Macaca mulatta: one gene and its partners. The protein of the gene in region 2 binds, or shares a complex with, the protein of the main gene of each other region. Links are inferred from orthologs where the notes say so. Each region holds a gene or a part of one and is shown on either strand. Other genes may lie near its edges.

Evidence for each region.
Region 1: SF3A3 (region 2) and SF3B4 share a complex: the UniProt entries of both Homo sapiens proteins name them as parts of the 17S U2 SnRNP complex. The link is inferred for Macaca mulatta from reciprocal best matches to the Homo sapiens genes SF3A3 and SF3B4.
Region 3: SF3A3 (region 2) and SF3B3 share a complex: the UniProt entries of both Homo sapiens proteins name them as parts of the 17S U2 SnRNP complex. The link is inferred for Macaca mulatta from reciprocal best matches to the Homo sapiens genes SF3A3 and SF3B3.

The regions. Positions count from the first base shown.
Region 1 is NC_133406.1:117,227,211-117,230,959, reverse strand, and holds the start of SF3B4 (splicing factor 3B subunit 4), read right to left. Parts: upstream 2,393-3,749; 5' UTR 2,341-2,392; coding exon 2,307-2,340; intron 1,875-2,306; coding exon 1,746-1,874; intron 1,508-1,745; coding exon 965-1,507; intron 636-964; coding exon 429-635; intron 1-428. Other genes in the region: MTMR11 (myotubularin-related protein 11), read right to left, coding at 3,720-3,749. UniProt on the Homo sapiens protein: Component of the 17S U2 SnRNP complex of the spliceosome, a large ribonucleoprotein complex that removes introns from transcribed pre-mRNAs.
Region 2 is NC_133406.1:202,805,143-202,808,832, reverse strand, and holds the start of SF3A3 (splicing factor 3A subunit 3), read right to left. Parts: upstream 2,950-3,690; 5' UTR 2,893-2,949; coding exon 2,797-2,892; intron 2,494-2,796; coding exon 2,446-2,493; intron 776-2,445; coding exon 723-775; intron 621-722; coding exon 515-620; intron 1-514. UniProt on the Homo sapiens protein: Component of the 17S U2 SnRNP complex of the spliceosome, a large ribonucleoprotein complex that removes introns from transcribed pre-mRNAs.
Region 3 is NC_133425.1:69,307,704-69,311,352, forward strand, and holds part of SF3B3 (splicing factor 3B subunit 3), read right to left. Parts: intron 2,252-3,649; coding exon 2,086-2,251; intron 1-2,085. UniProt on the Homo sapiens protein: Component of the 17S U2 SnRNP complex of the spliceosome, a large ribonucleoprotein complex that removes introns from transcribed pre-mRNAs.

The DNA of each region.
Region 1 (3,749 bases), about 86 Mb from region 2:
CTATCATGGTAGCTGAGATTAAGGAGTCAGAGGGGTGGAGGATCTAGAAAAGCAAAAGCAAAAAGAGACGAGAATTTCAAACAGGAGGACACGACTAGTTTCAAGTACATCAGAGGTCAAACTAGATAAGGAGGAGAAGTGTCCCTGAGATTTGGCAATTAGGTCACCACTTTGAGCTGGAGTCAGAGAAGAGAATGGAACTAAAGGTTAAAGAAATAAAAACCAGCAAGTATAGTCTTCTTGTCAGAAAAACTTAAGAAATGGATACAGGGAGGTGGATGTTAGAGAGTATTTTGTATGTTTTTATAATAGAATGTCTGAAGGAAAGGAAACTCTGAAACTGTTACTGTTGAGGAACAAAGGGCAGCAGGGTGAGAGGTAACAGAGATGCTCTACCAAGCTCTTCCCTCCCAACAAAGCACACCTACCTGGATGGGGCATCCCACCTGGTGGGAATGGGTGAGGATGTGAGTGTCCATGACCAGGATGTCCTGCCCCTGGGGTTCCTGCCGATGGGGGGCCATGTCCTGCAGCTCCAGGAGGCATAGGTGGTGGGGGCATGGCTGGGGGTATCCCAGGTGGGAGGGCTCCAGGAGGTGGCACTGGGGGTGGGAAGGAGCCAGGAGGAGGCATGCCTATAGAGGAAATGGAAAAAGGAAAAGTTAATGGTAGTGAGGAGAAAATGTCTTTAAAGAGCCTGTCCTGATCTGGCCTCTCTGGGCAGGGTGAGCTCTTTCCCCCTCCTCCCAGTGCTCTAAAATCAAAAGCAATGTTAGAAAAGTCAACCAACTTCACCCTCCTAAAGAAACCCAACAACTTTCTTCTCCACCACTACCATCACCCCTCAGTCCTCTTCCCATCACTCACTGACTCCATGTCCCATCCCCCTTTCAGGCTCTTTTTTTCTTCCTCCTGACTCTCTCCCCCAACCTTAAGACAAACAAATTTTAACCAAAAGCTTTACCTGGTGGAGGAAGCCCAGACCCCAATGATGATACCACAGGATTGGGGGCAGAGGGTGGAGGAGGTGCATCTGCAAACAGCTGATGAGGGCGGTCAGCCTGGGAGAGCGGGTTCTGAGCTGCCAGAAGTCGTTCGGCTGCTGAGCCATGGCGCTCACCCTTGGAGTCCTTCTTGAAGGCATAAGATACGGTGATAGGGCGGTTACAGAGGTACTGCCCATTCATGGCTTCAATTGCTGCATCCGAAGCATCAAATGAAGCAAAATTAATAAAGGCATAACCTTTGGAGTTGCCTGTGTCAGGGTCCCGCATAATCTTGGGGGTTTGTAAGATGACCCCAAAAGCGCTGAAAGTATCATAAAGCAACTTCTCATCAATCTCAGGGTCCAGGTTCCCAATGAAAATGTTGGCCCCTACATCCAGGTTTTTGTTGTGGGCTGATGCTTTGTTCACCCGTATTGGCTTCCCATAGAGTTTGATCATGTTCATGATCTTAATGGCATAGTCAGCATCTTCCTCACTCAAGAATTCCACAAAGCCATAGCCTGGAGAAGTGGAGAAGAGGAGGTTAACAACATAAGAGATTGAAAATGGGGTAAAACTCATCTACCCTCTAATCACAAAGAACAAGAAAGAAACAATCTCACTTAAGAATGGTTCCAGAAATAAACTGAACAGAGGCTTAAAAGAAAGAAATACTTTAGGTTGCTCATGTTATTCCAAAACAGTTGTGAATACTGCCGGGACCCTCCGGAAGCAAATTGCCCCTTGTCATGTACTCACCTTGGTGCTGGCCAGTGACTCTATCCTTTGGCATGTGGGTGTTGACTACTGGTCCAGCCTGGAGAAACAGTTCCCACAGCAGTGGTTCACTAACCTTCTCATCCAGGCCCCCCACGTACACAGTGGCATCTGAAGGGAGGGAGCAGAAAGTTAGAGCAAGGGTGAGAGTATAACATGAAAGAAGGAGGTGATGGAAACATGAAGATGGAACCCAACCGGGGGAACTGGGGACGCGGGTAGGGGACAGGAGCAAAAAAAAAAAGTTAAACCCTTAAACTTCTCTCTCCAGGACTTCAGGAATCCTCTGAAGTCTAATTTAGTATTCTGAGTGGATTTTTTTGTTTTTTTGAGTGAGAACTCAGCAGGGGATTGGACGTAAGTATCACACCCACAGGCCTCAGCCAGCACCTGGCCACCCCGCCCCCAGGAGGCACGGGGCCGGTCTCGCGCCCTCTGGGGAATGGATGAGTCCAGTCTCCCACCCCTGCAGAGGCACTTCTGGCTGTAGTAGGGGCCTCCTAGCCACGCTGAGCCCATTCCAGACTTTCCCCCTCCAGTTACCCTGGTTCCGCTCGGAGATCGGCCCGGCAGCCATGGCGAAAGAGCTCCCGCCGTCTCCCAGCAGCGGTTCCGCCTTCTGACCTCAGCACGACTTCCACTTCCGGGGCGAAGGAGGACGTAGCGCTGGGCGGAGCCGCGGAAGAGGAGGGGCCTGGAAGCGGCTGCAGCCATTTTAGGAGCCTCCAAGACTTAACTCGGGTTGGGCGGTGGAGTCCTCGGCACCCGCGCAGAGGTGCTGCTGCTAGTGGTCTTAGCGAGGAGGGCGGAACGGAAACGCTCAGACCGTCTTAATGCACTGCTAGACTTGAAAGAATCACACTGCTCCCAAAAATGTAAATTCGAAAGCTAAAAGAACAAAAACTTCAGTTTTCATGTATTTTGTAGCCAGTGATGATGTTTTGTTGTCCAGAGAAGGATGTGCTGAAGAGTCCCCCCAACCCGAGGACTTGGCTGCTTTCAGGCGCAGAGGGAACCCTCCATCTCGCCTGCAACCTTCTTGCAGATTTGGCCTCAACAGCCCTGATTTGGGCTGGAGGTATTTGGTTTTCCCTCGGGGAGGAGACTGCGAAATGTCTGAGCTGGAGTGACGTCTGCGCTCATCTCGTCGTAATTGCATGGGGAGGGTGAGGGCTGCTCCAAGGTGGTGTGTGACCACAGGTGAGGGGTGGATAGGATCGGAGCTCAGAGACTTCAGTCTGGATCTCTAGAACAATCTGGCCCCATCTGCCTCTAAATGGGAGACACACACAGAATCCTTTCCCCAAACTGCACTTGAATTCTGCAGAGTCTCACCAAATCCAGTTCCCCTATTTCCTTAGCAATAATACAGTAGATGCCTTCCTCTCTTGGATCATACCCACCTTTTACCCACCACTTTCCTACCTAGGAGAATCCTTTATTCAAACACAAGAAACAATGCCAGTAATGTGTATAAATACTATGCTTTAATGAGCCCCTTAAATAGAAAATTCCGCTACAAAAATACAGAGGAGACAGGGTGTTTCCTGTATCCGCCTCATTCCCATAGAAAACTATAAGGGAAGAAATAGAAGTTGGAATTAAAGCAGCAGCAAGGCGAGGTGAGAATGCGATCTGTAGGCCATCTTGTTGGGACTGATGAACAGCATCTCTGATCTCACGATTTAACATCTGGTTATCCAGAAGGGATGGAACTGGTCTAAAAAAACCGATCAATTTCTGGATTGTTTTTGTTTCTTAATCCTTCAAATGACAAGAAACAAAAATATCCGTAGGAACTAAGCAAGACAGGACAAGAGTTGGAGCAGTTAACACCACCATCTGCAGCAGAAACTCAGACCTTCTTAGTGAACTTAAGGGCTGGAGTGTGAAAGCTGAGGCTGCAAGTCCAGAAACAAAAAAAAAAAAAAAAAAAGGATTAGACAGAACCGTCCTCTACCCCAGATCCCCCTCTGCCCTGCCTTT
Region 2 (3,690 bases):
AGGAGCTGCCCACGAAATGTGGCCTTGGCTTTTTTTTGAGATGAAGTCTCACTCTTGTCCCTCAGGATGGTGTGCAATGGCGCAATCTCGGCTCACTGCAACCTCCGCCTCCCGGGTTCAAGTGATTCTCTTGCCTCAGCCTCCCAAGTAGCTGGGATTATAGGCGCATGCCACCATGCCTGGCTAATTTTTGCATTTTTAGTAGAGATGGGGTTTCACTATGTTCGTCAGGCTGGTCTCGAACTCCTGACCTCAGGTGATCCGCCGACCTCAGCCTCCCACAGTGCTGGGATTACAGGTGTGAGCCACCGCACCCGGCCAGCCTTGGCTTCAAAGCTGAGGGAGATGCTGAAAACACTGCAGTTGTAGGATGTCAGCTAACTATGGTCCTTGCACCTAAATGGCAAGTTCTTTCTTGAAGTGCATTTGAATAGCACATGTCCAGTTTCCTTTATACCTTTCCTTTATATGCTTTAAAGATAGGTCTGGAGAAAATACTTTTCGGAGGACATACCTCATTTGGGTGCTTCCGGTGGAATTCCTTTATTTGCTTGAGTCTATTATAGAATTCAGCAAACTCATTGGGTCCTGAAATAGCATTGAGCTCCTCCTTTCGTAATCTGCAATTTCAGGAAAATTTCAAAGATAGAGCACAAAGTCAGTCCTCTAACCATGGCTCCTCAGAAGCACTAACTCCTAGATTAGCTGTGACTGTCACTTACCCATCCTTATCATCATACAAATCCCTCAGGTTCCCACTGACCTCCATATACCTCTGAAAGGCAAATACAAAACCATCAGAATGAGGCAATTTGCACAAATGTAGAGCTAAGCAAACAACAAGGGCTCTCCAGTCAAAGCCCAGGGCAATCTCAAGAGATACGGACATGGTCTTAACAGTTCTGTGCTTCCTAGTACCTTTAATAGCCCTGTTTCCTGGTTAGTTTTTCAATAGCCCTTTAACAGCCCTGATTCCTGGTTAGTTTTTTAAGCAGGTCGATTGGAAGATTACCTAAATGATAACATTTAAGGGGTGGCTCCTATTTTTACATACCACCGATGCCTAACTTTCCCTGTAACAGACTCACCCTCTTTGGCTAAACACTAGCTCCCACCTAACATCCTCAAAGATAAAGATGATATTCACTATTTCAAAAAGCTTGACTGAGGAGTAGACAGGCTAAATAAACATTACATAGGCTTCCTTTGTAGTCAAAATATACTAATTCGGGATGGTACAGGTACATAGTCCCCTCCTCCAAAACTTTTGGGCCCAGATTTGTTTCAGAATTTGGAATTTTTAAGTTCAGAAAAGGTATCACATATTATGTAACAGCCCTAGTGGAATCTGGAGCACACAGTTCTGCAGTAAACCTTATACCTTATTTACTAAGTGGGGTAAATTAAAGACCATAAAAAGCCTATCACAGGTTCAGGCCAGTAAACCTGTCAAGTGAGAGCAGGTCAGATTTTGACACCAAATAATCACCCAAGGGGAAAAAAATAAAATCCTTGGTTTTCAGAGTATTTTGGGGCTGAGGGCTTGTAATCTGATCATCTCCTGAAAATCAGAAGGTCCAAGTAAGTCTTTTATTCCTTTTTAAACAGGTTTCAAACGTACCCAAGAGTAAGGAACGTAGTAAAATGAACCTCCATTTACTCATCACCTTGTTTAAAAATTTAAATAGCATCTTGTTTTTCTTTTAAGTAATAAATTGAACTACTACCAGACAAATGCAGTTTAGTAGTCCAAAATGCTTTAAAGCAGTATCCTGGGAGAAAAACACTAATATACGGTATACATACATACATATATATATATATATATTTTTTTTTTTTTTTTTTAAGGCAAGGATTGTAGCTGTGCACCTGAGTCATGGACTCCTCATAACTATTGTTTGCACATCCAAGGGATACAGGATGCTGTAAGAACGGACACGTGTAAGCCAGGCGCAGTGGCTCAAGCCTGTAATCCCAGCACTTTGGGAGGCCGAGGTAGGTGGATCACGAGGTCAGAAGTTCGAGACCAGTCTGACCAAAATGTTGAAACTCCGTCTCTACTAAAAATACAAAAATTAGTTGGTGGCGAGCGCCTGTAATCCCAACTACTCCGGAAGCTGAGGCAGGAGAATCGCTTGAACCCGGGAGTCGGAGGTTGCAGGGAGCCGAGACCGCGCCTGGGCAACAGAGCGAGACTCCGTCTCAAAAGAAAAAAAAAAGGGGGGCACCTTTCCGATTAACGAAGAATGCGTAAGAGTTCCCCATTCAGAGAACTGAGGAAGCACCCTTACATCCGGCAGCCTGTGGACATCTGTCCAGGCAGAGAGCTCGCGACTGGCCAATCCGGTTACCTTTAGCCAGTGCTCATACTGAGACCCCGCACTTCACTTCCCCTCTCTTTTCCCGCCCTCGCCAACCCAGAGTGACAGACAGCTGGGCACTCACATCTTGCATGGCCCGAGTGCGGTGATCAGAATTGATCTGGTCCCGGAGCTGAAAAAGCAAACGGTGACACAAACGCCGTTAGCTTGCGTTCTGGAATAGAAAAGGCCGCCCGAGGGCGGAGCTTACCCGCTCAGGTTTTATCCGCTCAGGTTTTAGCAGCTGAGGAAGAAAGGCCTCTGGGGCTCTGGACCCCGGGAGGAGGTTACCAAGACCGGAGCTCGGAGAGGGAGCCCCGGAGGAGGCAGGAGGCGGAGTGCGGGGAGGCGCTGAGGGCCAAAGCAAGCTCTCAGAGGTCAAACACGGGATTGAGGCCCATGCCCCTGCCGCAGCCCCTGCTCAGACCCCACTCACCGTGGACTTCTTAGTGAGCATCTCTTTAGCCATGACGTCCATGAGCCGTTCCTTCTCCTCATGATAGCGCCGCTGCTGCTCCAGTATTGTCTCCATCTTCCCTTAGCCGCAGCCTCCCAATTCAGACCACCTACACGGCCGGAAGCAACTCCTGCCGCCCGGCGCGCCTGAGTCCCCACGTTGCGCATCCAGCTGCATCAAAGTTCCGCGAGTGCCGGAAGTGCCCGGGGACTTAGGAAAACATGAGCACCACAAGGAAGGCCAGTCTATGTTATGGAGATGGCAACAGTGCCACCTGCTGGTCGGAGGTGTGGTGGAGCGATGCCGAGAGGTTTGCAGATACCTCCAGGGGGCATAGGAAAACCCAAGAGCCCGAGGTTCAGCGGACCGCTTCCTGGGGCTTGCTGGGGCCGGCTGGTCGGGCAGGTACACTGTGGGGACTGCGCGAGCAGTTGGAGTGCAGCTGGGAGATGGGAAACCGGAACTTGAGGACGCAGCTTTCAGCGTAAATTATGAGAACATTTTCTGCTTCTCTGGACTTCAGCACCTTTCTTAGTAAAATGGGAATAGTGGGGTTTTGCTGGTGGTGTTTTTAAAGAAATTCACATGTGAGGCTGGGCGCGGTAGCTCACGCCTGTAATCCAGCACTTTGGGAAGCGGAGGCGGGCGGATCACTTGAGGTCAGGGGTTCGAGACCAGCCTGGCCAACATGGTGAAACCCCGTCTTTACTAAAAACAAACAAACAAAAATTAGCCGGGCGTGGTGGCACACACCTGTAGTCTCAGCTACTCCGGAGGCTGAGGCAGGAGAATCTCTTGAACCTGGGAAGCAGAGATTGCAGTGAGCTGAGATCGTGCCACTGCACTCCAGCCTGGGCAACAGAATGAGACTCA
Region 3 (3,649 bases), on a different chromosome or scaffold from region 2:
CTGGGACTATAGGCGCCTGCCACCACGCCTGGCTAATTGTTTTGTATTTTTAGTAGACAGGGTTTCACCACATTAGCCAGGATGGTCTCGATCTCCTGACCTTGTGATCCGCCCGCCTCGGCCTCGCAAAGTGCTGGGATTACAGGCATGAGCCACCATGCCCGGTCTTTTTTTTTTTTTTTTTCTTTGAGACGGAGTTGTTGCCCAGGCTGAGTACAATGGCGCGATCTCGGCTCACCGCAACCTCCACCTCCTGAGTTCAAGTGATTCTCTTGCCTCAGCCTCCCAAGTAGCTGGGATTACAGGCATGTGCCACCACACCTGGCTAATTTTGGTTTTTTTGTTGTTGTTGTTGTTGTTGTTTTTAGTACAGGAAGGGTTTCTCCATGTTGGTCAGGCTGGTCTCAAACTCCCAACCTCAGGTGACCTGCCCACCTCGGCCTCCCAAAGTGCTGGGATTATAAGCATGGGCCACCATGCCTGGCTAATTTTATTCTTGATGAATAAACTATTTACACACATTATTTATTCAAATTGCAATGAAGGTGGAAAAATCACTAATAATCAAATTAGAAATTAGTCACACTTGGCCGGGCGTGGTGGCTCACGCCTATAATCCCAGCACTTTGGGAGGCCAAGGCAGGCAGATCACGAGGTCAGGAGATCACAGTGAAACCCCGCCTCTACTAAAAATACAAAAAATTAGCTGGGCGTGGTGGCAGGCGCTAGCAGTTCCTGCTACTAGGGAGGCTGAGGCAGGAGAATGGCATGAACTTGGGAGGCGGAGCTTGCAGTGAACTGAGATCACGCCACTGCACTCCAGCCTCCTGGCTGGAGTCGAGACTCCGTCTCCAAAAGAAAAAAGATCGAGACTCCGTCTCCAAAAAAAAAAAAAAAAAAGAAAGAAAAGAAGTTAGTCACACTTATTTTCTGTTGTCCTCAAGACTAATCATTTCGGCCGGGCGCGGTGGCTCAAGCCTGTAATCCCAGCACTTTGGGAGGCCGAGGCGGGCGGATCACAAGGTCAGGAGATCGAGACCACAGTGAAACCCCGTCTCTACTAAAAATACAAAAAATTAGCCGGGCGCGGTGGCGGGCGCCTGTAGTCCCAGCTACTCAGGAGGCTGAGGCAGGAGAATGGCGGGAACCCGGGAGGCGGAGCTTGCAGTGAGCCGAGATCGCGCCATTGCACTCCAGCCTGGGCAACAGCGTGAGACTCCGTCTCAAAAAAAAAAAAAAAAAAAAAGACTAATCATTTCTCAGAAAGGAAGAACAAAGCAATTAATTTCAGATGGGTGTAATTAAACCTGTCTGAATGCTGATTTGTTTCCCCAGTACCCAGTGAACAAGCTCCTCTCCCATCAGAAGTGTGATTAACTACACAGGTGGTCCCTAATGGTCACTCAAACCCTGGCAATTGAGGATGCAACAGCATGATCAAATTCCTGGCTGTCACAACTGAGCACCAACAATGAGAGACACAATCTTCATTCTGTGCCACTGCAGGTTCCTCCTTGAGGTGGTGATTCAAAACTTTCTGTTACCAACTGATCCCAATGTCTCAGAACTATTTTAAAGAGGAACCGTGGTAAAATGAAGTAAATACAGCTATATGTAGACTTATATGACAAGAGGTCAACCACAGAATACTGTGGAGTATATGACTCCACTTATTTTAAAAAGAAAAAGACAGAACACATAAACATATACATGATTCTAAATGCAGATAAAACACCTGGAAGCAGTTACAAGAAGTTGTTAACATAAGCAATATGGTTCAATGGAGCGGACGGGTGAGAAGATTATAGGGAGGACTTTTACTTTTCACTTTTTACATGGTCTGATTTTTTTCCTCCCCAGCAAGCAGTACAGGAATATGATCTGAATTTTTACATTAAACATGAGTTTCATCATTATGGGAAAAAAAGCCCAAGGACTTATTAACGGTTTTTTATGCTCACGCTTCTACCTCTAACTGCTTTACACACTGGCGAGTTCAAGGAAATACTAATAAAGCTATTTCTTAGACTAGATCTCAGTTTAACTTTAGATTGATTGTGGAAGGGACTGGAAAGACCCACCAACCTGGCAAAACAGAATGGGAGAGAGGCTGTCCAACTCATCAACCAGCACAAGGTTTTTAAGTGGTCTTGGCTGAAAAAAGAATGTGTCTCCTTCTTCCAGAGGCATGGCTGATGAAAACTCAGGTTCTTCATCATCATCTCCAAGATGTGCAATTTGATATAAGTAACTGGGAAGAAGCAGAGAAGAGAAACTTTCGGTAACGAGTTCTCTGCCTGACGATAATGTCTGACATCAATATAAAGCACAAGCTATTTGATTATATTAAGATACTACTGTTATTATTTTTAGGTGTTAACATTAAGTAAGATAGCTAGGATTTGTTTCAAAACAATTCAGGGAGAAGATCTGGGAAGTGCAGTGAGTGTTTTATTTACAGCACAAGCAACAAAGAAAACACAGATAAACTGGACTTTATCAAAATTTAAAACTTTCATGCATCAAAGGAAGAAAGTAAGATGACAACCCACCAAATGAGAGAAAATATTTGCAATTCATATTTCTAACAAGGGTCTAGTACCCAGAACACATAGAGAACTCAAATACAAGAAGACAACTCTTAAAAAATGGGCAACGGGATTTGAATAGACATTTCTCCAACAAAGATACACAAATGGCCAATAAACACAAAAAGATGCTCAACATCAGCCGGGCACGGTGGCTTGCGCCTGTAATTCCAGCACTTTGGGAGGCCGAGGCAGGACGAGGTCAGGAGATCGAGACCATCCTGGCGAACATGGTGAAACCCCCTCTCTACTAAAAATACAAAAAAAATCAGCCGGGCAAGGTGGCAAGCGCCTGTAGTCCCAGCTTCTCGGGAGGCTGAGGCAGGAGAATGGCGTGAACCCGGGAGGCGACAGAGCTTGCAGTGAGTGGAGATCGCACCACTGCACTCCAGCCTGGAAGACAGAGCAAGACTCCGTCTCAAAAAAAAAAAAATAGATGCTCAACATCACTCATCCCGGGGGAAAGGCAAAGCTACCACTTCATACCACCACTGCATACCTAGCAGGATGGCTATAATCACAAATGTGGAAAACAAGTCAGCAAGGATGTGGAGAAACTGCAGCCCTCATATACTGCTGTTGGGAATGTAAAACGGATGTAGCTGCTTTGAGAAAGTTTGGTGGTTTCTCAAAAAGTTAAACACGGAATTACCATGACCCAGTAATTCCACTCCTACATATACACTCAAAAAAATTAAAAATGGGGACTCAAATAGGTATTAGCACAGCAACATCTACCACAGCATTACTCCCAATTGTGAAAGGTGGACACAATCCAAGTGTACATCAGCAGTAGAATGGATAAACAAAATACAGTATGTACAAACAATGAGTAATTCTGCCATAAAAAGGAATGAGTTCTGACACAGGCTACCAAAACATGAATCTCCTTCTTTTTTTTTTTTTGAACATGAATCTTCTAAATATTATGCCAAGTAAAATGAGCTAGATACAAAGGGACAAATATCAGCCAGGCACTGTGGCTCAAGTCTGTAATCCCAGCACACTGGGAGACTGAGGCAGGTGGATTGCTTAAGTCCAGAAGTTTGAGACTCTACAAG